Mus musculus: one gene and its partners. The protein of the gene in region 1 interacts with the protein of each later gene in a pairwise test. Links are inferred from orthologs where the notes say so. Each region holds a gene or a part of one and is shown in the gene's direction. Other genes may lie near its edges.

What was found.
Region 2: the proteins of Eda (region 1) and Leprotl1 interact in binary tests that used the Homo sapiens proteins (3 or more experiments, as listed by UniProt). The two-hybrid records come from large-scale screens. The link is inferred for Mus musculus from reciprocal best matches to the Homo sapiens genes EDA and LEPROTL1.
Region 3: the proteins of Eda (region 1) and Gimap3 interact in binary tests that used the Homo sapiens proteins (3 or more experiments, as listed by UniProt). The two-hybrid records come from large-scale screens. The link is inferred for Mus musculus from reciprocal best matches to the Homo sapiens genes EDA and GIMAP5.
Region 4: the proteins of Eda (region 1) and Dolk interact in binary tests that used the Homo sapiens proteins (3 or more experiments, as listed by UniProt). The two-hybrid records come from large-scale screens. The link is inferred for Mus musculus from reciprocal best matches to the Homo sapiens genes EDA and DOLK.
Region 5: the proteins of Eda (region 1) and Cyb561 interact in binary tests that used the Homo sapiens proteins (3 or more experiments, as listed by UniProt). The two-hybrid records come from large-scale screens. The link is inferred for Mus musculus from reciprocal best matches to the Homo sapiens genes EDA and CYB561.
Region 6: the proteins of Eda (region 1) and Emp3 interact in binary tests that used the Homo sapiens proteins (3 or more experiments, as listed by UniProt). The two-hybrid records come from large-scale screens. The link is inferred for Mus musculus from reciprocal best matches to the Homo sapiens genes EDA and EMP3.
Region 7: the proteins of Eda (region 1) and Mal interact in binary tests that used the Homo sapiens proteins (3 or more experiments, as listed by UniProt). The two-hybrid records come from large-scale screens. The link is inferred for Mus musculus from reciprocal best matches to the Homo sapiens genes EDA and MAL.

What each region holds. Positions count from the first base shown.
Region 1 is NC_000086.7:99,974,423-99,978,405, forward strand, and holds the start of Eda (ectodysplasin-A), read left to right. Parts: upstream 1-1,183; 5' UTR 1,184-1,358; coding exon 1,359-1,754; intron 1,755-3,983. UniProt on the Homo sapiens protein: Cytokine which is involved in epithelial-mesenchymal signaling during morphogenesis of ectodermal organs. Functions as a ligand activating the DEATH-domain containing receptors EDAR and EDA2R. May also play a role in cell adhesion.
Region 2 is NC_000074.6:34,143,940-34,148,183, reverse strand, and holds the start of Leprotl1 (leptin receptor overlapping transcript-like 1), read left to right. Parts: upstream 1-1,444; 5' UTR 1,445-1,483; coding exon 1,484-1,499; intron 1,500-4,244. UniProt on the Homo sapiens protein: Negatively regulates growth hormone (GH) receptor cell surface expression in liver. May play a role in liver resistance to GH during periods of reduced nutrient availability.
Region 3 is NC_000072.6:48,768,052-48,772,167, reverse strand, and holds the start of Gimap3 (GTPase IMAP family member 3), read left to right. Parts: upstream 1-1,316; 5' UTR 1,317-1,526; intron 1,527-3,321; 5' UTR 3,322-3,431; intron 3,432-4,116. UniProt on the Homo sapiens protein: Plays a role in T lymphocyte development and the optimal generation of CD4/CD8 double-positive thymocytes. Inhibitor of GSK3A, possibly by sequestering GSK3A in cytoplasmic vesicles and impairing its translocation to the nucleus.
Region 4 is NC_000068.7:30,283,729-30,287,763, reverse strand, and holds Dolk (dolichol kinase), read left to right. Parts: upstream 1-1,409; 5' UTR 1,410-1,732; coding exon 1,733-3,337; 3' UTR 3,338-3,535; downstream 3,536-4,035. Other genes in the region: nucleoporin NUP188 homolog, read right to left, coding at 1,294-1,325. UniProt on the Homo sapiens protein: Catalyzes CTP-mediated phosphorylation of dolichol, the terminal step in de novo dolichyl monophosphate (Dol-P) biosynthesis. Dol-P is a lipid carrier essential for the synthesis of N-linked and O-linked oligosaccharides and for GPI anchors.
Region 5 is NC_000077.6:105,934,488-105,937,987, reverse strand, and holds part of Cyb561 (cytochrome b561), read left to right. Parts: intron 1-147; coding exon of another isoform or gene 148-160; coding exon 161-359; intron 360-1,334; coding exon 1,335-1,433; intron 1,434-1,702; coding exon 1,703-1,806; intron 1,807-2,034; coding exon of another isoform or gene 2,035-2,078; coding exon 2,079-2,236; intron 2,237-2,420; coding exon 2,421-2,613; 3' UTR 2,614-3,500. UniProt on the Homo sapiens protein: Transmembrane reductase that uses ascorbate as an electron donor in the cytoplasm and transfers electrons across membranes to reduce monodehydro-L-ascorbate radical in the lumen of secretory vesicles.
Region 6 is NC_000073.6:45,918,627-45,922,709, reverse strand, and holds the start of Emp3 (epithelial membrane protein 3), read left to right. Parts: upstream 1-1,283; 5' UTR 1,284-1,468; intron 1,469-1,860; exon of another isoform or gene 1,861-2,074; intron 2,075-2,305; 5' UTR 2,306-2,343; coding exon 2,344-2,421; intron 2,422-2,672; coding exon 2,673-2,775; intron 2,776-3,251; coding exon 3,252-3,392; intron 3,393-4,083. UniProt on the Homo sapiens protein: Probably involved in cell proliferation and cell-cell interactions.
Region 7 is NC_000068.7:127,653,896-127,658,167, reverse strand, and holds the start of Mal (myelin and lymphocyte protein), read left to right. Parts: upstream 1-1,472; 5' UTR 1,473-2,034; coding exon 2,035-2,127; intron 2,128-4,272. UniProt on the Homo sapiens protein: May be involved in vesicular trafficking from the Golgi apparatus to the cell membrane. Plays a role in the maintenance of the myelin sheath, and in axon-glia and glia-glia interactions.

The sequences.
Region 1 (3,983 bases):
CAACTAATCTTTTCCATCCTTCATTTCCAGGTCTATTGTTCTGACATTTGCCATTTTCCCCCCTCTGACCCTGTTTCTGATTGGTGCAGCTGTTGAAGATGCTGCCGTTGCAGCAGTGTACATCTGGAACATTTGGCTGACTTGTTGAACTTACCCCAGGGAGTACTCCAGGGGAAGCATGGGAAGGGTGGAGAGGCCAGAACAGTTGCCTGCGAATACAGATGCCAATAGTGTCTGGCCATGCTGTGGACCACCCCTGTAAAAATTCACCTCATCATGACCCTCAGTTTCCCCACCTGCTCCTCGAAGGCTCAAGTTCTTCCAAAACTTGTGCAGCTCTGGAAAAAGATAAACTTTTGCCTGAGGGTTCTCTCACACGGTACTTTCTGCACTGTGAAAGGGATCAATGCATATCTGTTGAATGAATTACTATATCAAGAAATCCTAGGAAACGGTTTTAGCCTTCAACGGACAGCATCACTTCAGTTTTACTTGGCACTAGGCACCCTCTCTATGCCCTCAGACTGTGCCCCAAGACTCATTTTAGGAGTGAGGTTGCCCTGTTCCCAGTCTGTTTGGCTCCCAGGCTCCTAGGTCTCCTTTTCTTCTGGCGAGCCATTGAATTGCAAACACAGCAGGCATGGTTTCATTCCAAACCCTGAACTGTTTTAATTAGTTTAACGTCTGTTAAACGCTTTGAAGATTGAAAGCAACAGATAAGTACTGGATGATGTTATTAGCAACTGCAGTTAATTGCAAACATTTCTATTAATGCTAGTTTCTGCCTCCTTTTCTTTTCTCCACGTTCTTTCCAAGGTTCCCAAATTCTTCTCAGCCTCCCCCTCCTGCCCTCCCCCATAGCGGCGCTGAAGGGTTAAACCGGGGTGGAGTCTAGAGATGAACGACAGCCGCCCTCACCAACTGCAACGGGGCAAGCGGGAAGAGCTGGGTGGGGCTGCCAGGCAGAGGTGAACCCCCACGCCCCCAGGCCCCGCCCCACGGCTGGAGGCCCGAGTGGAACGGCAGGGGGCGGGGCAGCCAGGCCTGGCGGGCCCGTGGTTGGGCGTCCCGGCCGCCCCTTGAGGCATGGGGCGGGGTAGGTGAGGACCTCCTCCCTCATTCCCTCTCTGGCCGCGCCGCCCCTCTCGCCCGCCCCTCCTCCTCCCTTTCCCACCCCTCGGAGTGGAGCTGCACATGCGGCTGCTCCCTGTTCTGTCCCGCCCAGCCACCGTCGCTCAGGAACGGGTCCCTGCAGCCCCCAGCCGATGGCAGGACAGTAGTCGCCTGTCAGGGGTCGTGAAGGACTGAGGCAGAGGCAGAGGCTCCCGGGCCTCAGATAGTGGTTGTCTCTGGAGGCCATGGGCTACCCAGAGGTAGAGCGCAGGGAACCCCTGCCTGCGGCAGCGCCAAGGGAGCGGGGCAGCCAGGGCTGCGGCTGTCGCGGGGCCCCTGCTCGGGCGGGCGAAGGGAACAGCTGCCGGCTCTTCCTGGGTTTCTTTGGCCTCTCGCTGGCCCTCCACCTGCTGACGCTGTGCTGCTACCTAGAGTTGCGGTCCGAATTGCGGCGGGAACGGGGAACCGAGTCCCGCCTCGGTGGCCCGGGTGCTCCTGGCACCTCTGGCACCCTAAGCAGCCCTGGGAGCCTCGACCCGGTGGGTCCCATCACCCGCCACCTGGGGCAGCCGTCCTTTCAACAGCAGCCTTTGGAACCGGGAGAAGATCCACTCCCCCCTGACTCCCAGGACCGGCACCAGGTGAGTCACCTAGGAGGGGCGGCGGCCTTGGAGGCCCCCTCCCCTGCTCGGTTGGGCGGGGGCCTGGGCCTCAGGGCTCAGGGGACTCTGCCACTCAGAGCCAAGTTCCAGGGCAGGAGCTGGGAGTGGGCCGGAGTGCTGGGGAGAGGTTGTCCAGGTCAGGTTGTTCTCGGTTCCTGCCTTGGCTCATCCAGACCCTCTCCGGTCCCGTGGAGTTGGAAAGCCCAGCCTGCACGCGCCGCCCCCGGGGAGGTGTGGGCTGCTTAGCGAAAAGTTGGCCTGCCTTGCACCCATCCGGGCGCGGAGGTGCCTGCGCCGCCCCCGTGGCCGTCTAACGGCGAGCAGCTTGGCCCCTCGTGCCCCCTGGTGAGTTTCTCTGCCCGTGGTGCTTGTTTCTTCGTGTCCCGAGCTGATGCCAGCACTAGCAGGCTCCTCTTTGGAGTTGGAGCTGTAAACAGCTGTACTAACTGTTCCACGCCCGTTGAAACAACTTTTAACCATACTTTCAGCGCTGGATTCTTGTGCGCTGACCAGGACCTGAGCTTTTTTCACACTTACCTGCAACTTGAGACGGATTCTCTTCTGCGTTCTAGTTAGGATCAGCGCCCCTGAGGAATTCTGGTAGAAATATGCCGTCTTGCTAGACAACTTCTGAACAGCAATTTAAAAAATCTATGGAAATAAAACTCACCCTTTGCATGCCGGTTCTGACACTCTTGTAGATGGAGTTGGGTGCAGTGGGTGTGAAGAGTTTTCATTATTGCTGCCTTTGGAACAGGAAGTTGGATTTTTGTTTTGTTTTGATAATCTTTAGAGGGTTTGTATCTCTTTTAGCAAACCATTATCGTAGTTGTTTTTCTTACTCGTTATTCCAGCAAATTTAGTGTACTTGATATTAAGTCTTCCTGTGGTTTCCATAGCTGTCTCACACTTGAATCTTAGGCAGAACATCCAAGAATCTTTTTGAGGTGGTTAAAGATTAATGGTGAATTTGTAACTTCTGGAGAAAACGACACTTTGTGTAAGTAAGCTACTTGAGGTGAGACATGGAAGCCTTCTGTACTTGGTGCTATACCCATAGTTATTGTCACAACTCTTTAAACATTATTTGTGTTGCTTTGACTTTCCAAGTTGTACACTTTAGAGGTGTCACATTCATAATAATACTCTAGTGTCAGAACACACACTTTCTCTTCTTTTCCTTTCTCTCTCTGTGTCTCTCTTCCTTCCTTTCTTTCTTAACAATGTGCTTTGTAAAATTGCTTCAGACCTAAAATGTCTTTCAAAGACACTCAAATTTATATAACTGCGTATCAAAGAAGAGAATCAGTAGACGGGCTTCTCATACTTGAAATTTTAAACACCGGGGCTAAATGACAATGAATTAGGACTCTGGGTCTTTTATTTACTACCCCCCTCCAGGATCCTAGTAGAGGTACTTAGCAGCTGCACCTTGATATTCTCTCTCTCTCTCTCTCTCTCTCTCTCTCTCTCTCTCTGTATGTACACACACACACACACACACACACACACACACACACTCACTCAAAAGAAATCAGGAAATTACTCAAATGGTGGTCAAGGATTTTTGGCAATCAGGATGGACAGAGCGCTGGTTAGAGATTGTGGGACAGCAGTATACTAGAGCTTCTGTGATGGCATGGGACTCTCACAGCTTTGCAATGGCCTTTAGTTGCTTACATCAGATGTAGCAAAAATACTTATGTGTTTCAGCACAGCTTCTTATCTGCTATCCTTTAGTCTATTTTAGTCTATGGGGCAGTCAAAGCAATGATACCAGTTCTTTACATTCATTAGCATTAATTGGAATTTATGTTTTCCAGATTTGTAAGGTACCTCCTGAATCTATTTTATTGATTCCTTTGGAGAACATACAGGCCTCAAGGGAGAAGTAAGTGGCCCAAGATATCCTAGCTTGAGTCAAAACTAGGATGAAGGTGCTCTGCCATCCTCCAGTTTAGTACACAGTCCTCCATAATATAGTGTCTACTGAGAAACTTTGTTTTTGAGGGGGGCGATGAAGGGACAACAGGTTGAAACTCCATAGTAGGCTTTTTACAAAATGAGAGGCTCAGATCTGTGTCACTTTGTTCTGCTCTAACTAATTTTGACCAGACTAAGTTTAATCACATATTCCTTATTCATCTTGAATTTCACTTTCAGGAGAATTTTAGCCCACTGAAGACATTTTATCCCAGATTCAACTAA
Region 2 (4,244 bases), on another chromosome or scaffold:
AACTTCTCGGATAGGGCCTACAACCGTGACCAACCCATTGGCTTCTCCTCTCTCCAGCTTTCCAAATTCCCGTTCCATTTATTAGCAAAGAGCATGTTCCATCTGCCCCCCAACACACACACACACACACACAAACAACCCAACTTTGTCTTTCCATTAAAAGAGTCCTGTCAGATCAAACCAAAGGACTATTTCCCATGTCTTCTATTTCCTAGATATTTCTAGGATAGAGGTTGTCTCTGCCTTCTTAGATTCAACAGAGGAGACCTACATATTAGCAGCTGTAAGGCCTATTAAAGGGGAGAGTGTATTTTACAGGCTGTATTTTACAGGCTTAGCAAGGTTCCGAATAAAGGAAAACACAACCGGCTAGGTCTGGGAGCCCATAAGGCATTTTAACAAAAGGCAATACGCTGTGGGAAAGCAACTAAATGGAAGAAATTTGGGCTTTCAGGGGAAAACTAAGGGAGATAAAGGCTATTTCTGTAACATTTCTACAAACTCCAATTGCGGCTGCTTACAGAGACATCTGTCTCTTCCTCAGAAATGAAAATATTTACACATGGGAAATTTTGTGTTGCAAATATCTTCTCATGTAACACAGGAAAGGAAGTTCCGGCTACCTTTACAAGGAGAAACTTAAATCGGTCTGATTTTGTACAGAAAAGGAGCGCAGCCAATTCCCCTTCTATGTCTCTCTCTTTTTTAAAATTGATTTCAGCTACAGTCATCTTTCCGCCGCCCCAGTGGTATATTTTGGAGTGCAGATGGATCCCTCTTGCTATCCATTATCTTCGTCGCACTTTTGTTCTCTTTTGAGTATTTTCTCTTTCTAGTCTGCAAACAACCCGAGGGCAGAAACTACACCTGGTTTTGTTCATCCCAACGCCTACCCGGTTCCCCAGCATATGCTATGTGGGAAGCTTACATAAATATATAGGATCTCTGCGGGGCGCCCCCCCCCCCACTTCCCCATCCTTTTTGTCACCAAGACTGAAAAGCTCTCCGACTCCCAAGAGGAAGCATCTTTATGTTCACATTATGACTCGTTGACTCCCTGCGGGGGTGGAGGGGACCTCATGGGATCTGTGTTAGGAACCCAAGGAGAGAAGCAGAGACCACCCATCTCACGTGTCACAGACTGGGTGGTGGGAGGAGAAATGGGCTCGCGGGGCAGAAAGTGAGGCGATCCCGCAAAGACATCGCCCGCATCTTCACGAGCTCCGCACGCTCTCTTCTCGAGACCGCGGGGACTCCGGGCCGGAGCTGCCCCGCACGTCCCCAGCTGGCCCCCCTCAGCCGCGGAAGGAAGGACGCCGGCCCGGCCCGGCCCGGCCTCGCGCGCCCCCACGCCCCCGCGCGAGCCGCCGGCGGAAGTGCAGCGGGGTGCACTTCCGGGTGTTGTCTGGCCGCCGCCGCCGCCGCGCGTCTCGGGTCTCCCGGCCACCGCCCGGGTCGTGGAGCCAGGAGCGACGTCACCGCCATGGCGGGCATCAAAGGTGGGCCTGGGCCGCGGGGCCGGGGCCGTAGGGATGGGGCGGGGCGGCGTGGGGACGACCCAGCCGGGCTCCTCCGGCGGTGGCGCTCCGCCCCTGGACCAGAACGGGGCAACCCGGCCACCGACGCGGTCTGCGCGAGTTTGCACCCAGAGACATTGAGGGCTGCGATCGGGAGGAATGCCCGGCACGGCAAACCAGTGTGGTTTCCCACCCGAGGCACGAACGCGCCCGTCTCCCAAACCCGGGCTCTGCATCCGCTCCCGGGATCGCGGTGCACAGGCTTTCCCTGCCTCTTAAATCGAATGCATCTTTGGTGTTTTTAAGGTGCAGTAGAGCCCGGATGCTAACCCAGAGTGCTCCTGGCTTCCTTTCCCCCACAAGTGCACGTTGACACTTTGTAGTTGTGATTTTTTTTTTTTTTTAAGAAGAAAGGTAACGAACACCTTGATGAAAGGTTACTTGTCTATTGGTGTGTTTTCTTCAGAGAGAACGGGATGTTGCATTCTTTGAAGACAGGGAACTTGGCTCAGTAGTAGTCTTGCCCCTGGGGTTAGAAGCAAAGTTTTGTATTTACTTATCAGCGGATCACTTTGATTTCCTGACCTGCTTTGTAGAAGAGATAACCTAGTTGGAAGTAAAAACAGTTGGATAGTGGTGCTTCCACCTCGCTGGTAAGGGCGACTTTGGCTGAGCTTTTTCCCTGGTTCACGTTTTTTCTGGTGTCTTGTTTATTTTCGGTGCCTAAAAAAAAAAAAGATGTTATTTCTCGTATAGAACCTTGTCATCTGAGCAACTAGGACACTTTCGGATCTCTTTTTGAGCTATAATAGACCCTTTCAAGTTCTAACGTGGATGGAAGTTACTGTAAAGTGCTGTTCTTTTTAGGATGTTGCCTGCGTTTCTCTACCCACCTGCGGTGTCATTAATGAGGGACTCTTTAAAAAAAGAAAACAGTTTTTATGGTTCTCCAAATCTGGATAATGTTAATCCTGGTGACAGTGACTGGGGGGGGGGGTAATTTTACTTTTTAAAGATTTCAGTGCCTTTTAAAGTTACAGGTTGCTTATCAAGATATTTCTTCCTGTTGGCCTTTAGATTGCCCTTAAGTAAGGAGTATTGCTGTAAAGACCATTACATATTTCTTGAGCCAGTTGCCTGCTACTCTGTGATACATTATATTTTCTGCTAACTCCCAGGCCGGGGAACTTGACCCCTTCACCTCTGTCTTTGTAGTCCATCTTTAGAGAATTTTTGCTAGGTAATTGGGCTGTTCCATCCCTGGCCCAGAGGCTTTGGAAGTAGAAACCACACTCCTCTCTGTTTCATTTTCCGAGTGTTGCATCAGTCAATTACTGTATGAATCCTTACCTTACTGGTGTGTCACTTAAGACACCGTTGATATAAAATAAGCCACCTAGCTGCCAGTGTCATAAGACTGGAGAGACGTTACTGGTTTGGGGAGCATTGTGGAGCAGTTTGTTTACGTGTGTCAGCTTTTATCTGTGATGACTTAAGAGATGAGATGTCACATGCAGATGGCTTTGAACGTCTTTTAAATACTGAGTATCGAATGCATGGAAATATGACCCTAGGGTATCTCCATTCCCCAAACACTTCTACAGGGCTTGTTTTTTCATATGTGAGTACTTGAAAGGAATTGGATCTTGTATAAATAAATGCATCGGTAATTTTATGGGCTGGAGAGATGGCTCAGCAGTTAACAGAAGAGATGAGCTCAGATCCAAGATCCGAGCATCCCTACCCAGCAGCTCACAAAAGCCTGCACCTCCAGCCCATAGTTACCTCATCGACACACAGACAGACACACACCTCCATAATAAAGTAAGCATTTTAAAATAAGGATTCTCTTATAATATTGATACAGTGGCTGTAATTTAAGCTCAAGTTTTAAATGTGTTTCAATGCCAGAACCTTATATTTTGGTTTCTTGATTTTTTTAAAGTATTATGAGTTAACTTGTGTTATTAAACTTTTGTATTAGCATTTTTGAACATTATGCAGTCCAGGCTAACTGGAACCCACATTCAACTTGCCTCAGCCTTCTTACTAGGATACACTCAATCAATCAATCAATCTCTCTCTCTCTCTCTCTCTCTCTCTCTCTGTGTTGTTGTTGTTGTTGTGGTTGTTGTTGTTGTTGTTGTTGTTGTTGTTTGATACAGGGCCTCTGTGTATTACTGACTATCCTGGAACTCACTCTATAGACCATGCTGACCCTCAAACTCACCTGCTTCTCTGCCTCTCTGCCTCGGCCTTCCTCCTGGGTGTGCACCAGCACCTCTGGCAGCCTTTTCTTATTTATAAAAGGAAGAACCCAGTTAAATAAAGGTAACTAGTTAGTGGGCAATAGGGGACACAATGCTGTTGCCACTCCACCCCCTCCCCCCCAGGCTGTATTCATTCTTTGTTACTGATTGTTTAAGCTGGGACATGGGTGACCAAAGCTGACCAGGAACATTTGGAAAGGAAAGATGTTTGGGAAGCAGTTTAGAATTGCAACTCTGGTGACAGAGCAAGGAGCTGCAGCTGAAGGCCCGGCACACACCTGCACCTCTCCCTGCATTCCTTGACTATTGCCCAGTTGCCACCTCTTCAGAGACACCCCGTCAGTAACCTGCCTTCCCACCCCTTACCCTACCTGCTTGTGGTCATCACTGGACATTTGTTCTTTAAGTCTTTAACTTCCTTCAGAGTTCATGTTTACTGAGCAAACAGAATGTCCCA
Region 3 (4,116 bases), on another chromosome or scaffold:
GTTTTGAGCCTCAGGCTCTTGTTCTCATTGGCTGCAGTCTGGCTTCCTTTCCTGCTGACCGTCCCTTCACAGCAGGATGCACCTTCCCTTTGGAGGCGTGGACCAGAAAGCTGCAGTGAGAAAAGGTTCCAAACAATCCCTGAGTTCTGTGAGGAAGAAATCACACTGCAGGAGCTGAGGTGGATTCAGGAACCCACAAGAGCATACATGTCAATTAAAACAACAAAACAAAACAACAGCCAGGCAGTGGTGGCTCACACCTTTAATCCCAGCACTTGGGAGGCAGAGGCAGGCAGATAGTTCTGAGTTCAAGGCCAGCCTGGTCTACAGACCGGGACAGCCAGGGCTACACAGAGAAACCCTGTCTCGAAAAAAACCAACAAACAAAACAAAACAAAAAGCTAAGGATATGAACATGCAGGTTATAGGAACAACATCTATATTCATTTCACCCAAATAGATCCCATATCCCACTCTCCTCCTTGAACATTCTTTTGTTTAAAAAAAAAAAAAAATCACCCAAACTTGGGATTGGAGGGATGGCTCAGTAGTTAAGGAGCCTTACAAGTGTTAATAGTTCCAGATCCAGGGGATCCAGCAGCCTCTCCTGGCTTCTGCAAGCACCAGGCATGTGCAGAGGGCACTTGCATACATGTAGGCAAAACACTCATACGCGGAAAAGAACAGCAAGTGAATAAAAAAGTGATCTGAACTCAAACACACGGCTAAGTGGAACTCCTCCAGGGAGGAGACCTGGCTCACTCCGGATCCTGAGTCCTGCAGGGCAGCAGGCAGAGGCACAGGGACTTGGGATTCCACTAAGTGCTGTTGCTTTGCCTAAACCATACTATAGACTGGGTAGCTAGCTTCATGGCTTCTGTGGAGACAAGGTCTGCCCAGGTGAGAAAACCTAAGCCTTGTTCTCCCATACTCTCCCTAGAAGCCAGGGTACCTTAGCCAGGCTCAAGCATGATAGCTATTGATCTGTCCAGTGGGCCCTGGAGAGAGCCACTTTAGGCTCAACTGCCACCTCAAATTCCATCTAAGAAGCTACCTCCGGATGGCAGAGGTAAACAGCAGAGCAGAAGAGATGCATGCTGTCTGCCTGGTGAGGAGGAGCAGAAGCTAGAGTCTTGGGTTGCCCATGCTTTTAGACTTCTAGATTCTCTTAGGCCCATAGAGAATACTTTGTACACAAACATCTCAGTGGTGTGGCCGATGAGGGTGGAGCAGGAAGCAGAACTTTTTTTTTTTTTTTAAATCAACCTTTTCCACTGGCTGCCTTCTTCAGTGGCCCTCAGAGCACCCCTTTTCAGAGAAACTCATGTACATCACCCTTTCCCACCCCTCAGGAGACACCGTCTTCCTCCCCCTGGAAGACAGATCTTGTGAGCTGGCCTTCACCTCTTGTAGCTCTTGTACTTTTACGAAAGACTACAAACCAATGTGAGAGGCTGCCTAGGCCTGGAAGGTAGCTCCACAGTGGCTATAGATCTTGAATGGAAAGATCCTCAGGAACTCACCAGGTAACAGGGATCTTGTGGTGTGTGTGTGTGTGTGTGTGTGTGTGTGTGTGTGTGTGTGTGGTGTTCTTCTATCCTGCTCACCCTTAAATCTACCAGTAACAATTAGTGTCAACCTGAAGGGAAAGACAACTGATCTTTTTTCATAGACTGTAGAGAAATTCCTGTTCCCCAGGGACTTTTAGTCTTGTCTGTGGAACATCAGTGAGTTTTCTCCCTCACAGAACAAGGCTAACACACCACTGAGGACTCAGGAGAGGTGGACTCTTAGACATTCTCCTTGCTTTCCAAGGGCGAAAGGGAGCAGACAAGCTTCTAAAGCAATTTCCCTAGAGCTGTCAGCCAGGCTTGTATTGAGTGTCTGGGAACCAGAGAGCAGCTGGAGGGGAACCAGTCTTTGGGACGGGGCATCAGACCGGGTTTTGTGAGCTGGGAAATTAGAGTTGTGGCAGGAAGATGGAACGTGGGCCCCATGGGTGATCTGAAGTTCATACACTACCCATCGTCCAGAAGGAACCCTAGCTGTCTGACTAGCATTCGCTTTATCCAGTCGGGGTCAGGACTCTATCAATGGATAAGAACAACCCCAGGCTCTTCCCCAGAGCCTTGGGTTCCTCGATGTTGGAGAGCAAAGGGACACCAGATGTCTTTTTCCATCACTGACTGTGGTCTGCACTCTCTGACTGGCTAAATTATCTATTGGCGTATCATCTCACTGAATCCAGTACTCACTGAGTGGCTGGACTGGCTATCTTATCTCCCCGTCCCCTGCAGGTTTAATTTTCTTTCTTTCCCATCACTTTTCTTTTTCTTGGTGAACATTCACAGTGCTGGGCAGGAGGGAATTTGTTTTGTTTTGTTTTGTTTTTCGAGACAGGGTTTCTCTGTGTAGCCCGGGCTGTCCTGGAACTCACTCTGTAGACCAGGCTGGCCTTCAACTCAGAAATCTGCCTGTCTCTGCCTCCCGAGTGCTGGGATTAAAGGTGTGCGTTCACTCAGGTTCATCTGTTCACAGAAAGCATTTGCTGTTTGTTTTGGATAAAGTAATACATTCTTTAAAGACCAGTCAAAGCAAACAGAATGAAGCTGCAGGCAGTAAAGCTTTTATTCCCGGAAAGGACCCCATGACCATTGCACACTGGTTTTCCCTCATAACAGCATGACACATTTTCCCCATTAGGACAGTTTGTTCTCAAGATGCTGTGGTGAAGGATATGGGAAAGAAAGAATGATATTATCAGTTTTCTCAAATGAGACCAAGATAATCTGCACAAGGCCAACACACAAGTCTGTGACCTTCTCACAGTGCTTCTAAGTGTGGCCTGCCCATGCCCTCTTCCAGTCTCTTCCAGTCCTGCATGAGGGAAGCACTGCCAGGGGAGGGCCTCTTAGATATGGGGAGCTCTTCCACTTTTGCTAGCTCCAAGGTTCAACCAAGGGCCAGAAATAACTGACACACACACACAAACACACACACACACTGACTTCTTAAAAAATAAACGAAAGGACTGACAGGTGTGTGGGTGAAGTGGTGGAGTGGTAGGGGTGGGCTGACACTTGGATCCTAGTGGGTGGGGACAGGGCACACTGCTGTCTTGAAAAAATGGTGGCCCAGCATAAAATGAAGGGGACCGCGTGGGAAAGGGGTACAGATGAGAAACAGCAAGGTGACAGTCATTTTGCTGGAACTGTGTGGGTTCAGACTAGAGAAAGCACTGGAGAGGAAAAAAAAATGTCTAAAGAAAAAGGCTTGAGAAGCAATGTTTCCACTCTTGCTTTCGCTCCTCTTTCTCCTCAGGCTTGATTCTGAGATGGCAGCAGTTTAAGGCTCTCAATTTGGAGGAATGACCTGCCACCAGTTGCTTGGCCAAAGGCATTGTATGAGTACTCCTGCCTGAGAGACTGTTGGTAAGCACCTAGGGGCGCCAGACCCCACCCATCAGCATACGCTGAGGAGCACAGCCCAGGGAGCTGTACAGGAAGCAGTGGTAGTGTGACCTTCGCTCTTTCATCGGCAGTGTTGTTCAACCTAGTCAGTCCCCTCACAGACGTGTAAGCCGCTCAGGGCTTCCACAGGGCCTCAGGACTGAGCTTCAACCCTTTCCTCTTCTTTCTTACAAAGAGAACAAAGCAAAGCTGAGGGTCGAGTTTGGTTCTCTGCATCTTTCTGCTTCAGCTGAGCCTTGGCTTTGATGGACTTCAGCTCTCCAGGGCAATGGAAACAACAGATTCAGAGATTTGCTTTAGGAACTGGCTCACATGACCATGGAGGGACAGAATGCCTGAGCCCTGCAGGTGTCTGGAGGCTGAAAGTTACTGGGCTAAATGCTGGATCCTGGCATCCAGTGTTGAAATTAAAGTTTAATTTATATTTATTTTAATTTATATTTCTTGTCAAGTTGGTCTCTGGACGGTTTCATATGTGGAAGAGCTAGAAAACATCTAGAAAATCCATTTGTTTCAAAAAGTGTTTTTAAGTGACACACCAGAGACCCTGAGGTTCTGTAATTAGACATTCTTTTTATTTTATTTTATTTTATTTTATTTTATTTTATTTTATTTTATTTTGGTTTTTCAAGACAGGGTTTCTCTG
Region 4 (4,035 bases), on another chromosome or scaffold:
TGCTAAGTTCCACAGAAAGCTCAAAGCCTGCTGGCAAGCCAAAACTTTCCTTTCCTTTTGAAAAAATTCATTTTTTTACAGTTTTCATACAAGTATTTATCCATAGCTGTGGATACAAGGTCTGGCATGAAACAAACCGGCCCTTGCAAGGACCACACTTTATCCACAGGAAACTCCAAAGAAAATGTTACCCCTGGAAGGTGAAGAGGCTAATGGAGAGAAAGATCAGCAATGTGTGTGATAATTACATGTCTGTCTGGGCGTTTCAGGTTTCCACAGGAAACAAGACCAAATAAAACTGGCAGAGTCAATTCCAGGTGACTGACAGGGAATGTTTACATTTAAGGGGAGGAAGGGCAGTGAAGACCCTTTCTGATCTATAATGTGGATACATACAGAGGTCTGGTTAAGGCTTTAGAGCCTTCCATCTGAAGGCTCACGGGGATTATCTCGAGGGCTGACAAGGGGGGACTGCCTATGTATGAACTGGACTTCTGAGTCCTGTGGAACAGGAGGCGCCTCTCCTAGTCGTGAGAAATGAATGAGGTAAGGCCTGCACGGCACTTTCCCAGGGTCTGGCGCTAGTAAGCGCTCTTTAAAGGCAAGCAGGGCTCGAAATTCATGTCTGTAATTTCCGCACCAAGAAGGCAAAGGCAAGACAACAAGGAGTTCAAGGCCTGCCCGAGAGGCAAGAGACCTTACCTCAAAAAAGAAACAAACAAACAAACAAACAAACAAAAGCACTCTTTTAAGTGAGAACTGTATATTTGTTTCGGGGTAATTCATCTTGTGTCCGAAGCCTGGCACAAAACCCGGAATCGCATGGAAGATGAAGGCATGCCTGCTGATTGCATCAATATCGGCATTAGCCAAAAATAAAAGAAGGCGGGAACTAAGGATGCCCGCGGGAAGAAATCGCGGCGTGGGCAAGGCACACCCGAGGGGGAGCAGGGCGCAGGGACAGCAAGGAAGGGATCGCAGTGGGGTGGGTCTTCCAGGCGACCCCGAAATGTCCCGCAGTGCCTACAGGCAACGTGGTGGAGCAAGCGTGGGTGTATGGGGACTACCGGAGGCTCAGGGACCACGGAGAGAGAAGGGAGAGCGGCAGGCCCGCTCCAAAAGTGTCCTCAGCCCCGCGAGCGGGAACGGTTTGGACCTAACCGCCTCCCCGGCAAGTGTCCGTCCACCCAGCCGGGGCTCGTCTCTGCCACTGCGGCTGAGCCCCGGTCCCAACTCCCGCCCAGCTCCCAGCCCGCGCTTCACGGCCACCCCCTGCCGCGCCCCACTCCGCACCTCACACACGGCCCACCAGCGGCAGCCGCCATCTTCGCGCGCGCGGCCCAGCCCCGCCCCCATGCGCCGTACCCACGTGACTGGGATCCTCCAGCCTGGGGGCGTGGGCTTCCGCCACGTGATGGTGGGCGTGGTCAAGATGGGGCTGTCAAGATGGCGCTGCCCTGGTGCGAGGGGAGTCCGCGGTGGAGGCGGTGGAGACTGTGAGCGGTGAAGAGGGCAAACATCTGCTACACCGTAGGTTGACAGCGGAGGCGGGTGACTGGGCGCCGGCTCCCAGGCCTCAGAGTGGCCCGTGGTGGAACACCCTTTTGGAAGCTGGAGAAGGTTGCTGGCTGGGTGAAATTGCTGCCCCTCTGCTTGGCGGGTTGAGGGCCCCAGAGGCCAAGGCGTCCCTAGTCACCAAACTTCTTCTCCCAAGAGCGCCAGACCTAGAGACATGACCCGACAGTGCCCTCCCCAGGAGTCTGGGGCTGCGCTGAGCGGGTCGGTGCTGGCGGAGGCTGCAGTGGTGTTCGCCGTGGTGTTGAGCATCCACGCTGCAGTGTGGGACCGATACTCCTGGTGCGCGGTGGCCCTCGCGGTGCAGGCCTTCTACGTCCAGTACAAGTGGGACCGGCTGCTCCAGCAGGGCAATGCCGTTTTCCAGTTCCGGATGTCCGCGAACAGCGGCTTACTGCCGGCCTCCATGGTCATGCCTTTGCTTGGGCTAGTCATGAAGGAGCGCTGCCAGACTGCAGGGAACCCATACTTCGAGCGCTTCGGCATTGTGGTTGCAGCTACTGGCATGGCAGTGGCCCTCTTCTCCTCCGTGTTGGCACTGGGCATTACTCGCCCGGTGCCCACCAATACTTGTGCCATCTCTGGTTTGGCTGGAGGCGTTATCATTTATATTATGAGGCACTCGCTCAGTGTAGGCGAGGTGATCGAGGTCCTGGAAGTCCTGCTAATATTTGTTTATCTCAACATGATCCTGCTGTACCTGCTGCCCCGATGCTTCACTCCTGGGGAGGCACTGCTGGTATTGGGTGGCATTAGCTTCGTCCTTAACCAACTCATCAAGCGCTCTCTGACTGAAAGCCAGGGGGACCCAGTGGACTTCTTCCTGTTGGTGGTGGTGGTAGGGATGGTGCTCATGGGTGTCTTTTTCAGCACCCTCTTTGTCTTCATGGATTCAGGCACCTGGGCCTCTTCCATCTTCTTCCACCTCATGACCTGTGTGCTGGGCCTTGGTGTGGTTCTGCCCTGGCTGCACTGGCTCATTCGTAGGAACCCCCTGCTTTGGCTTCTTCAGTTCCTCTTCTACACTGAAACTCGCATCTACCTCCTTGCCTATTGGTCTTTGCTGGCCTCTGTGGCCTGCCTGGTGGTGCTGTACCAGAATGCTAAGCGGTCGTCTTCTGAGTCCAAGAAGCACAGGGCGCCTACCATTACAAGAAAGTATTTCCACTTCATTGTGGTAGCCACTTATATCCCGGGCATCATCTTTGACCGGCCACTGCTGTATGTGGCCGCCACTGTGTGCCTGGCAGTCTTCATCTTCCTGGAGTATGTGCGCTATTTCCGAATAAAGCCCTTGGGTCACACTCTGCGAAGCCTTCTGTCCCTCTTCCTGGATGAACGAGACAGTGGACCCCTTATCCTAACACACATCTACCTGCTTCTGGGCATGTCTCTTCCTATTTGGCTGATCCCCAGACCCTGTACACAGAAGGACAGCCTGGAAGGAGCAAGAGCCCTGGTCCCCTATGCTGGGGTCTTGGCTGTGGGTGTGGGTGATACTGTGGCCTCCATATTTGGCAGCACCATGGGAGAGATCCGCTGGCCTGGAACTAAGAAAACCTTCGAGGGGACTATGACATCTATATTTGCACAAATCATCTCTGTAGCTCTAATCTTAATCTTTGACAGTGGAGTAGACCTGAACTACAGTTATGCCTGGATTTTGGGGTCCATCAGCACTGTATCCCTTCTGGAAGCGTACACTACTCAGATAGACAATCTCCTGTTGCCTCTCTACCTACTGATATTGCTGATGGCCTAGTACCAGTAGCAGCTGTGATGGGGAAACAGGGAAATAGAATGAATGGTCCCCACAGCAGCTAGCCACCTGGACACCAAGAATCAAGAGATGGAAAGCAGATTTTGCTTCATCCAGGAAGATGAAGCCAGAAAGTTGTTTCAGACTTAAAATAAAGAAGCAAAGCTCTCCTGGTTTTATTTTTGCTGATATTTAAAATACAAAAAAAAAAAAAAAAAAAGGCTTAAAGGCATACACCAATTCAAGGAACTTGAATATGCTGCAGAGCCCCCATTTTAAAATCTGGGTAGAGCATGGCTAGAGTACACCCTGCAGGCATCAACAGAAAGCATAATGCTTAGGTGTTCATGTCAGACAAATCTGGTTAGAATCCTTGGCCATACAGATTAACTGTGTGGCCTTAAGAAAGTCTAAGCCTCATCTGGCAGTGGTGGTGCACGCCTTTAATCCCAGCACTTGGGAGGCAGAGGCAGGAAGATTTCTGAGTTTGAGGACAGCCTGGTCTACAGAGTGAGTTCCAGGATAGCCAGGGCTACACAGAGAAACCCTGTCTCAAAAAAGAGTCTAAGCCTCAATTGTTCTATCTGTAAGATGAGAATAATGTCAGCCTGACTGGATACTGGAAGTCTATTGAGAGGAAATGTGTAAAGTGTCTAAAGTATTCAGCCTGGGTGTCAGTGAGATGGCTCAGTGGGTAAAAG
Region 5 (3,500 bases), on another chromosome or scaffold:
TTAATGGTGGGAGAGTGAACAGAGGCGTGCACGGCTTAGGCCCTGGGGTGGAAGAGGTGGCAGTCCCGGGGACAGGTCATGGGTGGTTCCTTTTAGCTAGCTCTCTCTCTCTCTCTCTCTCTCTCTCTCTCTCTCTCTCTCTTGCAGCTGGGGTCTCAGAATGGAGCACAGTTCTGCGTCTGTCCCTGCTGCACTGCCGTACTATGTGGCCTTCTCCCAGCTGCTGGGCCTCACTGTAGTGGCTGTGACTGGTGCGTGGCTGGGTCTGTACCGAGGTGGCATTGCCTGGGAAAGCTCCCTGCAGTTTAATGTGCACCCGCTCTGCATGGTCATAGGCATGATCTTCCTTCAAGGAGATGGTGAGTCCCGTGGGGCCAGCTCCCTCAGCCACTCTCTGTCCCTCAGTTTGTAGCTGTCTTTGGGAGAGGCCATGTACAGGGATCCTGTCCCACCAGACACTCCTTCCACTTAGACAAATTGATGATTCTAGACAAGACAGATGAAGAATCTAGGGAGTCCAGGGGGACTGTGGTTGGAGGGTGATACCTGCTTTCCATCGGTTGCACTGGTACCTGCCTCTGGTTTCAGCAGATGGCATCTCCAGGGCTACAGTTGCCTTCTAGATAGAGCAGGGCCAGACTGGGCTATTAGTTATCTTCAGGGGCAGCTGGAAGTTGGGAAAAGAAGTAGACATACATGCATGTGTATATTGTTTCCTGTGGACCTGGCTGAGCTAGAGGGTCTGTCTGTCCCTGGGGTAAGAGCCAGCAGGTGCTTGGTCTAATAAGCACACCACCTGTGGGGGCTAGATGGTAGGGAGTGGGGCCTACCGACAGCCACCTCTCAGCAGCAGGTCCTAGGAGGCATCCAGGGGTAGTGGAAATTAGGCAGGATCACATGAAGCCTTGAGAGCGTAGCATCTGGCTGTCAAGAGCAGTACGTGCCTGTCCAGGAAGGTTCCAGAACTGTACTTTGTTAATGGGTACACAGAGTCTGGCCATCACCTCAGTGTGACAGCATGATGAGTCCTAAATACTGAATCACTGACTTATATCTCAGGCCAAGCAGTTACTCAGGGTGCTCTGCAGAGCCCTGCCTTTGCTGCCCCGATGGTAGCAGAGGTGTGGCGTAGCCTCTTCTCATGGCCCCTGGGTGTGCATGGGGTAGAAGAAGGACTCAGGGGAACCCTGACCAGGATGAGTGCAAGGTCCTTATGGAATCCTGATCTCTCCTTCAGTTTCTGTGCCTGGCAAACCTCGACCGACAAGCTCTTAGCATAGTCTGCTGTCCAGCACAGGCCTACACTCTTACATCTTTCTCTCACTTTCCATAAGCTCTGCTGGTGTACCGTGTCTTCAGAAGAGAAGCCAAACGCACGACCAAGATCTTGCATGGGCTGCTGCACGTCTTCGCCTTCATCATCGCCCTGGTGGGTGAGTTCCTGAACACAGCGTTTCCTTCTCTACCTGCTGCTTCAGGCTCCAGCAGCTGCTGCTGGACACACACTGTTCCTGCTCCAAGCTGCTTGGCTTTGCCCCTACTCTTCTTCTCACAGGCATCACAGGCAGGGACACTGGGTGCTGGCCATCATCTGGCTGGACCAAAGCCCAGACGTTCTGGCTAGTGTTTCCTCCCAGGCCTCCCCTCCCTTCCCTTCTCCATGACTAGCCCTGTCCTCACATGGCCCTTGCCTCTGCTCCAGGGTTGGTGGCTGTGTTCGACTACCACAAGAAGAAGGGCTATGCAGACCTGTACAGCTTGCACAGCTGGTGTGGGATCTTAGTCTTTGTTCTGTACTTTGTGCAGGTGAGTCTAGTGCTGTGGCAGCAAGGGCTGGGAGAGGTAAAGGGAGGGCAAATGGGGTCCAGGTGTGGCATGTAGGGGCCCATTCTCCAGGGGGCATGTCCAGAAAGGAAAAGAGCAGATGGATTTAGTTGGGTGGTTTTCCGAGGTTGACCTGGGTAGAATCTAGATTCTAGAGGCCAGGGTACCCCAGACTCCTTTATTCCACCCACCGACTATGCCTCCTATTAGGTCCCAGCCAGCTCATGGCTCAGCAGAGCCCTCTCTCCCTTTAGTGGCTCGTGGGTTTCAGCTTCTTCCTGTTCCCTGGAGCTTCATTCTCTCTGCGGAGCCGCTACCGCCCTCAGCACATTTTCTTTGGTGCCACCATCTTCCTCTTCTCTGTGGGCACAGCCCTACTGGGCCTGAAGGAGGCCCTGCTGTTTAAATTGGGGTAAGTGTCCTGGAGAGGCAGGGCGCCAGGGCCTTCTGCCTTCCTGGAAGCCTCTCTCTGAGCTGGCTTCTCACTGGGAGGGTGGAAGGTTGGGCATCGGGAAACCCGAGGCATCTTTAAGGCCTGGACTATGATTGTCTTAACTGGAACCCTTGGTGGCTTTTCCCTTCACCCTACCCTACAGGTCCAAGTACAGCACGTTTGAACCTGAGGGGGTGCTGGCCAACGTGCTAGGCTTGCTGCTGGTCTGTTTTGGGGTGGTTGTGCTCTACATCTTGGCTCAGGCTGACTGGAAGCGGCCTTCCCAGGCTGAAGAGCAAGCCCTCTCCATGGACTTCAAGACACTCACGGAGGGAGACAGCCCCAGTCCCCAGTGATCGCCCTCCTTGTCCTCTTGGCTCTGTGGGTTTCCAGATATCTTTTTGCTCTTCCCTGCAGACACTGAGTCTCTTAGGTCCAGGAGTGTGAGTGTGGGGCTGTGTTGTTAGTTTAGTGGGGTTCCAGGCTTTGGAGTTGTTCTCAGTCTCCCTTCCTCCCCTTCCTCTCTGCAGCTTTTGATACATCCTGTGAGCCCTGAGTAGGCTCTGTCTGCCTGTACCCGCTGTTGTCCGTTCACGTGCAGAAAGCTTGGTTAGGGGATCTGGGGTCAAGCCTGGCCCTGATCCCTATTGGAGCTAGACAATAGCTCCGCCCTCCATGCAGCAGATGGCTGCTGGGCCTGGGCCTGAGGGACTGGCATGGAGAAGTCAGACCGCTGCTTTGTGTATTCAACCCAGGAGTTCCAGCAGCTTGGGAAGCATGTGTCCTTGGCAGTAGAGCAAGTGATATTATGTGTAAAATATGCTGGTGTTCAGAGGAAGGCTCCCCAGAAAGGTTGACTCTGGCTCCCAAAGGAGCCTTGGCGTGTGGGTTGGCTACAGTCTTTAGGCCTTTCTGTTCTTTTAAAATCCCTGATCATTAAATAGGCTTTTCGTGGGGAAGGGGATTAGTGATCAAAACTCAGGTAAATACCTGCCCTGGTGGAGGAGGGCAGGCTGCTTGCTCACAGTGAGGGCTGCCCTGGCAGAGTACCTCCCTTCAGCAGGGGCTAAGCCCTAGCTTCCTTCTGCGGGCCAGCCTGGGCAGACTCTGAGAGTGGGAGGCCACACCTCCGGAGTTTTTGGAAGAGGGCTGCTGTTTGCCTTGTTCTCCAGGGGGGCTGCTGGGGTACCCTGGCTTGGGGTGCCCTGTCTTGGTTGAAGCAGCCCTGAGGGATCATGGTCCT
Region 6 (4,083 bases), on another chromosome or scaffold:
TCTCCAGGGTCAGAGTTAGACTTCCCCTTGTTTCTGTCCCCCTCCTCCATCCATCCTCATTTAAGATTCCAAACTTTAGCTTCCGGACGCACTGGCCTCAAGTCTTTGCCCTTTCTCCAATTACTAGAGCCAGAGTTCCCTCGACTCCACTCGGGGCTCCAAAGCCCGCTCTAAGTTGTACAGTATTACCAGGCACTGCTCTAGATCTAAGCTAGCCGCGATGCTATCCCTCTTTTACAGATGAAGGAAAATAGTGGAGACGTCATCAGTAACGCCTATGGTCACACTGCCAATGGATGCTGCAGAGGCTGTGCTGTGTGGTACCCAGCTCCCAGTCTCGCAATCCCCAAGCCAGCTGGTCACTCACCCCTGCAGGCTTAGGTCATCACACCCAGCTCTAGCACCATCATCCAGATCCCCAGCCCTAACTTCATCAGTCCTAGTTCATCACCCACAGCCCCTAACTCTGAGAATAAATGATAGTTCACACTATAACCCTGGGACTAGAGTGCTGTGAGAATTCTAATGGCCTCCCACAGCACTTACAGTAAAATCCTGATTCCTCCATGACTTCCAAGTGAATCCTCTGCTGTCCCGCTCACCACACCCTACGCTCTCTGTGCTCCAGACACACTGGCCATTCTGTCTGCTCTCCAAACGGCCAGCGTTTCTTCTCAAAGCTTGGGACATTTTCTCCCTAGTATCCAAATGACTCAGGTCAAATAGCACCTCCTCCAAGAAGCTTTCCAGGATTATCCTTTTTAAATTAGCATCTGCCCACCTAGTCATTATTGCCATCCGTCTATTTTCTTTATTGACTGTGTATTATACCCACTATATAGATTAGCAAACTGAGGCCCAAGTAAGTGAAATAATCTATCCCAGGCCACACAACCATGGAATGGCAACATTGGCATTCTTTAAAGCTATATCCTGCTCCTTCCCGTAATTTCATACTTTTTGTCCTGCCATGAGCCAGCCCAAAGTTTGATCTGTGTCACAGGATCTGGCCTTCTACAGATTCTTGTGTCATCTACTCTGCCCCAAACTTCATCAAAGAGAGCAGGCATCCAGTCCAAGAAGGTAACATGCTCCACCCCAGGGCCTCAAGGACTTCTCATCTGAGCCCTGAAAGGAGGTCCCAGAACATGCCTTCTGTGTGACTGGGTGGGCAGAGAATAAGGAACCAAGATTTCGTGCCCTCCCCTGACTGGAGACCTCAGCTGGGCGAGGCTAAAGTGGATATAAAAGGGTTGGTATATATTGAGAGTCGAGAGAAGCAGAAAACCACCAGAGGAGAGAGAGAAAGGGAGGGAGGGAGAAGGCAGACGGAGAAGGGTGGGTATTAAAGGGTGGGAGGAAGGCGGTGAGGGAGGCGGGGGCCTCAGAGTGGAAGGAGGGAGCAGAAGGGCGGGGCAAGAGGCCCAACGAGGACAGACTCCAACTCTGACTTCTTCAGCAACTCTCGGTAAGTTTTTCAATCCGTTATTCAGATGGGGCTTTATTTACTGGGCGGCATGGCACCATGGGCGGGGCACCTTAGGCAGGAAGAGACCCTCCACTCTTAGCTCCAGAGGAGACTGGTAATTGAAGAACTGATCTCTCAGCCTTTGTAGTGGGAATACAGGAGAGCTTAGAGCTGTCTATGAGACTTGTCCCAACAGAGCCCACCATGAAGAATGTCCTGTGGCTTCTCCCTGGGGTCTTCCACTCCCTTCTTAGATGAAGGGGTGCAGGAGGGCTCCCAGGGCTGGCTGAGTTCTCTGGACACTGAAGGGTGGTAGGAGGTGGTCTCTCCACTCAGACCACACCCTCCCTGCTGCAAATCCACCTCCCTGAGTGTCTAGAGCCGGGGTCTGCAGTCAGGTCGGGTGAGGACCAGAGACTCAGCCAGAGGCTGGCATTTCCCTGGTGTTGGAGGGAGGGGGGATGAGTCACTCGTGACTCACTCCAGGAGAAAGAAGAGAGTCAGTGAGTCAAGGATGCCTGTCCCGGGGGCAATTCCTGCTCCTGATGGTTCATATGGAGACCCACACGGCCCAGGGACAGAGTGTTGAAGATGCACCAGCTCACTGTTAGTCCTGCCCGTTCCTCTGTCTCCCAAAAGTCCATCTAGGACAGTCTCTGCCCGCCTCCAAGAGCAGGAGTCCCCTGGCTTGCCCTTCTCCCCAGGGAGGAACTGCTCGGCCTACTCCCCTTCTCCCTCACACCAGAGACTTCCCTACCTCCCTGGCCCTCCTCTCTGATTTAGAAAGCCATTCTCCAGCCCTCCTCCCCTAGGATTGAGTGCTCCCACCCTTTGCAGGCTTGCCTCTCCTGCCCTGAGCCAGACATCTGGCAGCCATGTCACTCCTCCTGTTGGTGGTCTCTGCCCTCCACATCCTCATTCTTGTCTTGCTTTTTGTGGCCACTTTGGACAAGGTAAGTTTCCAGCTCACTGGGAACCCCAGATATAGCCCATCTCTAAGACCCCACCTACCTGCCTCTGCTTCCCTTCCTCCCTACCTCTGTGCCTCCTCCTCCCCACTCCTCCCCTTCCCTACTCTTACTTCTGCGTGTGTACTTTCCCCTGGCCTAGCCCATGCATTTGGCCATCAGGAGTCATCCCCACTCTCCCTGACATCTTTTGTCCTGTGTCTCACCTCACCCTCCCCGGTCTCTGTCCCTTCCAGTCCTGGTGGACTCTCCCAGACAAAGAGTCCCTGAACCTGTGGTATGACTGCACGTGGAACACCACCACTCAAACATGGGCCTGCAGTAACGTCAGTGAGAATGGTGAGCATATGGCTGAGGGCAGGGGAAGGCCTGCCAGGGCCAGGGTTGGGAGCCTAGACTAGGCTATGAGCACCTGGGGTGGCCATAGGCAGCTTGTCTGGATGGAAAGGCACCAATAAATCCAGAGAGGTTGGAGCCACATGCTGTAGCTTAAGGAACAGGGGAGAAAGCTCCCTAAATTCTGAGAAGACTTTTCAGAGTTGTAAAGAAATGGAGCGAGTGTTGTGATGTGGGAGGGAGAATAGGGAGAGGCCAGAGTTCTAAGAGATGGAGTGGCCTGCCTCCTTTCAGGATTCGAAGTGACCGCCAGTGAGTGTGGGGATGGGGCTCATCAGTAAGATGTTTCCCTGGTAACCCTTGTAATCCTTGTAACACGGACATCTCTGAAGCTTGCCTGGCTGAACCTACAGTGAGTAGAGTCCAGCCAGTGGGAACAGCGGTTCCAGCTGTGACCTCACCTGTGTCGCCCCCTGTAGGCTGGCTGAAGGCAGTGCAGGCCCTCATGGTGCTGTCTCTCATCCTCTGCTGCCTGTCCTTCATCCTCTTCATGTTCCAACTCTACACCATGCGGCGCGGAGGGCTCTTCTACGCTACCGGCCTCTGCCAGCTTTGCACCAGTAAGCACTTCCCCCAGCTTGGGGAACGGTGGCGAGGAATGGGAGCGGGCCACTGGAGGCTCCCAGCCCTCTCCTGAGAGCAGCCTCCATGGCCCCCACAGGAGAGGGAGAGTGGAGCTGTGTGCCTTAGAGGCTCTGCGGTGAGCCAGTGCTTGAGAAGTCAGTGGTGGTAAATGAGCTGGGTTCCAGGGATGGGGGCAGCTAAAGGATCCACAGAAGGAATGTTCTGCATCATATCCGCCAACTGTGGTTTCTTGGGCACCTGTTCAAGAAGTCGTTTTGTTTGTTTGTTTTCTATTCTCCCAATACCGGGGCTATAACACGGGGCGTGCCAGACGGACTCTCATCTCTGAGGCATGTGCCCAGCTCCACACTGGTGGATTCTAGGCATGTGCTCTCAACTCTTTTTATTTATTTTATTGGAAATAGGTTGGATAAATGGTCCCAGCTGACCTTGAACTTTCTATCCTCATGCCCCAGCACCCTGGGTAGCTGAGAGAGCAGAGGTGGGCCATTATGTCCCACTTTTTTTTTTTTGTTTTGTTTTTGGTTTTTCGAGACAGGGTTTCTCTGTGTAGTCCTGGCTGTCCTGGAACTCACTTTGTAGACCAGGCTGGCCTCGAACTCAGAAATCCACCTGCCTCTGCCTCCCAAGTGCTGGGATTAAAGGCGTGCGCCACCACCGCCTGGC
Region 7 (4,272 bases), on another chromosome or scaffold:
TGGATCATTAGCAAGTGGCCCAGTGTAGCCTGGGGATGCTCAGCTGAAAGTGAAACCAGACCCGTCTACACAGCCAGGGCGCTCTATATCCAGATGGAGTCATTCTCATGCTTCCTTTGTTGCTAGGCGCAGACAAAGCTGAGTCCCCCTGGTCCTTACTCTCAATCCTTGGCTAACACTTGGGGCAGTCTCACTGAGGAAGAAGATGACAGATAGATTTGGGTAAACTATGGTCAGGAAGGTGAGCATCGAGCAAAGGGTTCCAGGTGAGATGGGAGGGTCACCAAGACAGGGATGGGGAGGCAGATTTCCTTGACGTTGGCCAAGATGACCAGCTAATCCTCCCTCTGGACTTAGAGCCTCCCCCACTTTATCCTGTGGGAATTGGAACTGCCAAGCCTTCCTGAGTGCACCAGTACTTTCCCCTTAAGTCATTAGCCCAAATGTTAAGGCCTTAGCCACAAAGGTTTGAAATAAGCAAAACCAGGGACACTCAAAGCCAGGCAAAGACATTGTAGAGTCAACAGCACCTTTGTGGGCTTTTATAGTTAGTATGCACGCCCTTAGAAATTGCTAACCAACTTCAACTGGATTTGCTAGTTGGTCATCTTATATCCGGCTGGTGGTGGCTTTCTGTGGCCAGTTTGCTTGGGTTTGCCTCCACTAAATATCTCCTTAGAAGGAAGAGACACTCTCAGGATCCAGCAGGGCTACCAAGTTGTAAGCTGCCCAGGGTGAGGGAATAGGGGAAGGGGCCCTGAGGATCTCACAGCTCATCTTATCTAGAGGCCTTGACCTGGGGAGCTGGATATTTGGCGGAGGCACTCACAGGTATCCAAAGCTGACAGCGTGGAGAGGCTCACAATAGAACAGAGCATCTTCCCACTTCAAACCTCTGGTCCTTTCTCATAAGCGGTTGCTCTCATCAGCAAATTCATGGGCATGGAGTCTTGCTTTTGAAAAATATGCCCAGAAATGTACTTCTTGTAGGGAATGGAATAAGGCTGTGCAGAGGGAAAGTGGGAGGGACCCTATACACACAAGACCCTGAACAGTAGTGGCAACTGGGGTAGGTGGAGGTCAAGTTCAGAATCTGAGCTGGAGGTTGAGAAAGGCCATTTCCCTTTCAGCTAGAACAGAGTTTAGCCTTACCGTATGTAATTTAAAAAGAAAAAAAAAAAGGATTGGTGTGATTTAAATGGCAGTTACTGGAGTGTGATACTTGTTTAAAAATAAAGGCAAAAATAAAACGTAAAGTTGTGGTACAAGAAGAGTAAATCCCCAGAAACGACTCAGCAGTCCATAGAGTCAAAGGACACGGGATGGGGGAGAACTGCCCCATCTCCAGAACTGAGGGAATCTCCCCTGGCAATATCTGCCCCAGGAATGCAACTTGTCCCATCACCACCGCCGCCGCCAGACAGCCTCTCAGATTCGTTCTCCTTAGAGTCACTTCCTTCCCTCCTGCTGGCATATAGTTTCCCTGACGAGCCTTGCTGTTGCCCCTAGAACCCCCAGCCTGCCGGTGAGATCGAAATGTGCCCTCCGGGAGCTTGGATGTGAAGGCTGCACATTAACACACCCAGCGGAAGACTGGAGACACGACTAGAGTTAAAGGGAATGGATGTCAAAGTGGGGAAGTCTCCGATAGGTTATTGATGAATAGTGATCACCTGCGTGGCGCGCAACACAGGGAAGTGCAGCGCGCGAGCCGCTCCATCCACTGCCCTCAGGCAGGTGGCAACTAGGGTTAGGTCAGGAGCGTACAGATTCCCAACCCAGTCCTGCAGATCTTCAGAGAGCACTCCGTCGGGTTTCAGGGCGGCGCCAGAGGCGATTCAGCCTTGTCCTCTAGGGCAGTAGACCCGGGCGGGGCGGGTGGCCGGAGCTCCGCCCTCCTCTGACCCTGGCTTTTCAGCTTTTAACCCGCGCGGGAGGGCGCCGCGGCCACTGGGCTCTCCGGAGGGAGCGAGTGGTCAGTGCGGAGCCGGAGGCGAGCGTGTCCAGTCCCAAGGCCGACGCCAGCTCGCAGGCATGGCTCCGGCAGCGGCTTCGGGTGGCAGCACCCTGCCCAGTGGCTTCTCGGTCTTCACCACCTTCCCTGACTTGCTCTTCGTTTGTGAGTTTGTGAGTGATAACGCGCCCTGCTCTGGGAAAGGGACCGGGTGGGTTGAGTTGCTGGGGGTGGGGTGGAGGGGTTGGGGGGGGGGGGAGCTCTGCAGCTCTGTCCCCAGTCACAGGAGGGAACTAAAATCGGGAAAGTTTTCCCCATCTCTCCGTGGTCTGCTCCTTTCTAAATTAGCGGACCGATTTCCCAGGCAGGTGCAGAAAAACCTCTTCCTAGAGTTTAGCTCCTATCCGAGCGCAGCTTCCTTACAAGGTACCACTGAGAGTCCTCCTGAGTAAACAAACCCAGCTAAAGAACCCTTCCATGCTGGCGACAGAGATTTGGAGATCAAGAGTAGCCAGCCTTTTTCAGGCCCTTTGAAGTTTCTGGGAAGGAAATGCCTCTGTGCCAATTTTGAAAAACAGTGGCTGTGCTTTGCTGGGCCGCGGTCCCCAAGCCCTGTGTGAGGGGAGGGAGGAGTCAGGGAAGACAGGTGAATTTTGTCGCCTGCCTTGGCTGACCTTGGGCTGACTCTGCGCCTGGGCTGGGTTCTATTAGCCTTACACTGTAGAACCGACCCACTAGCTTCGAGAAACTTTCCTATTGTGAGCTCCAGCCAGGCTTCAGAGCTACTTCAGTTTCTAGTCCCCAGGGTCCTTTAGCACTTACCTGGACAGGAGGGTGTTTGTTCAATTCTGTGGGTGTGGAGACAACATTTCCTGTGCTCCCACCACGCAGAGGTCTTTGTGTGGAGTAATAACTTGGAGAAAAAAAGTGTAGGTGATTTTAACAACTGGATCCCAGCTAACTGGATGGCTAGCAAAGGAGGCTGTGGACACCAAGAACAGTAGGATCCATCATCAAGGGGATGTCACTGAAATTGAGATGAATATTGAGTTGAACCCAAACGTGGGTATTTCTAAAGTGATTTCACACCCCAGGCACAATCACGGCCCAGGCTATGGAATTAACATAAGAAACCCTGCACACCGCTAGCTTACAAATAGGAACAGCCAATGCCCAGAACAGGGTTGGACTTGCCAAGGTCATCCAGGTCTTTAGCAAGCCTTCCAATCTCATAGAGTTCCTTCTAGGCTCAGGACTGCCAAGCAAACCTTGGAACAGTGCCAACTTAATGTAGTTGACACAGGCATCTGGCCCATATGAGAAAGCACCTACTGGGTGCCAGGGGGTGGGGAGGAGCATTCTTGTCTTTGTCATCTCTTAACCTATGTCTGCCCATTATTGGGTTTCTAGAAATGAGCAGATGGTATCCAGGACCTGGGACTAAGTCATGGGCGGCTCCTCAAAATTTTACAAAGAGGAACTTACAGAGGTCTGATCAAAAGAGAGCAAGATTGCACCTGAGGTGTGGTGGGGCACAGAGGTTTTTAAGGGAGAAAAAAATCTTAGTCTCGAGAAACTGCTGTTGGCTCCTTGGAGAACACCGTACCAAGTCATGAGATAAAGTGGCAGTTGGGCTTCATGCTTCTTTGCGAAAACTTTGATTGTAGACACACACACACACACACACACACACAAGGGCAGGGGAGCTCTGGTGATGGCAGGTCCACAGCCGCTTTTTTAGTTATTCTCCCACTTTTTTAGTTATTCAGTATGACAGAAAGGCTAGTTCTGAGGATAGGAACAGGCAGGACAATCAAATCCATAGAGAGGGCAGGAGGACCCCACCATCCCCGTGAAGAGAGTCTCTTGGTATGGAAAAATCTCAGCATTATTTGTTTAGTGAAAATGCCCCACACCGGTGTGCTCTCCAGTCCCGTGTGTGGTAGCAGGGGTCTCTAGGGTCCCCTCTTGACCAGAATCTGTCCCTTTGTGTTTTAAAAAATGTGTCCCTTCTACCTCAGCCACCTTCTGTCTGCCCACCTCCCACATCTGTCACTTTCTCCAGAGACCTTCCATGGCTCACTTGCCATCTTTGACTGTTTCTTCCTGGAGAGATTAGGGCTGGCTTTCTGCCTGGGGAGCAGGGAGAAGGCAGACTCGGTCTGGTAAGTGTTCCTCAGCATAGACCATGCATATGAAACAGTATGTGCTTTGATAGAAAGCCGGAAAGTTAGAAGCCCGGAAGAAGCACTGACCAGCTCAGGGGTGTCTTCTTAAACTAGAATATTATAACTCAATGCCTAAAATACAATTATAAT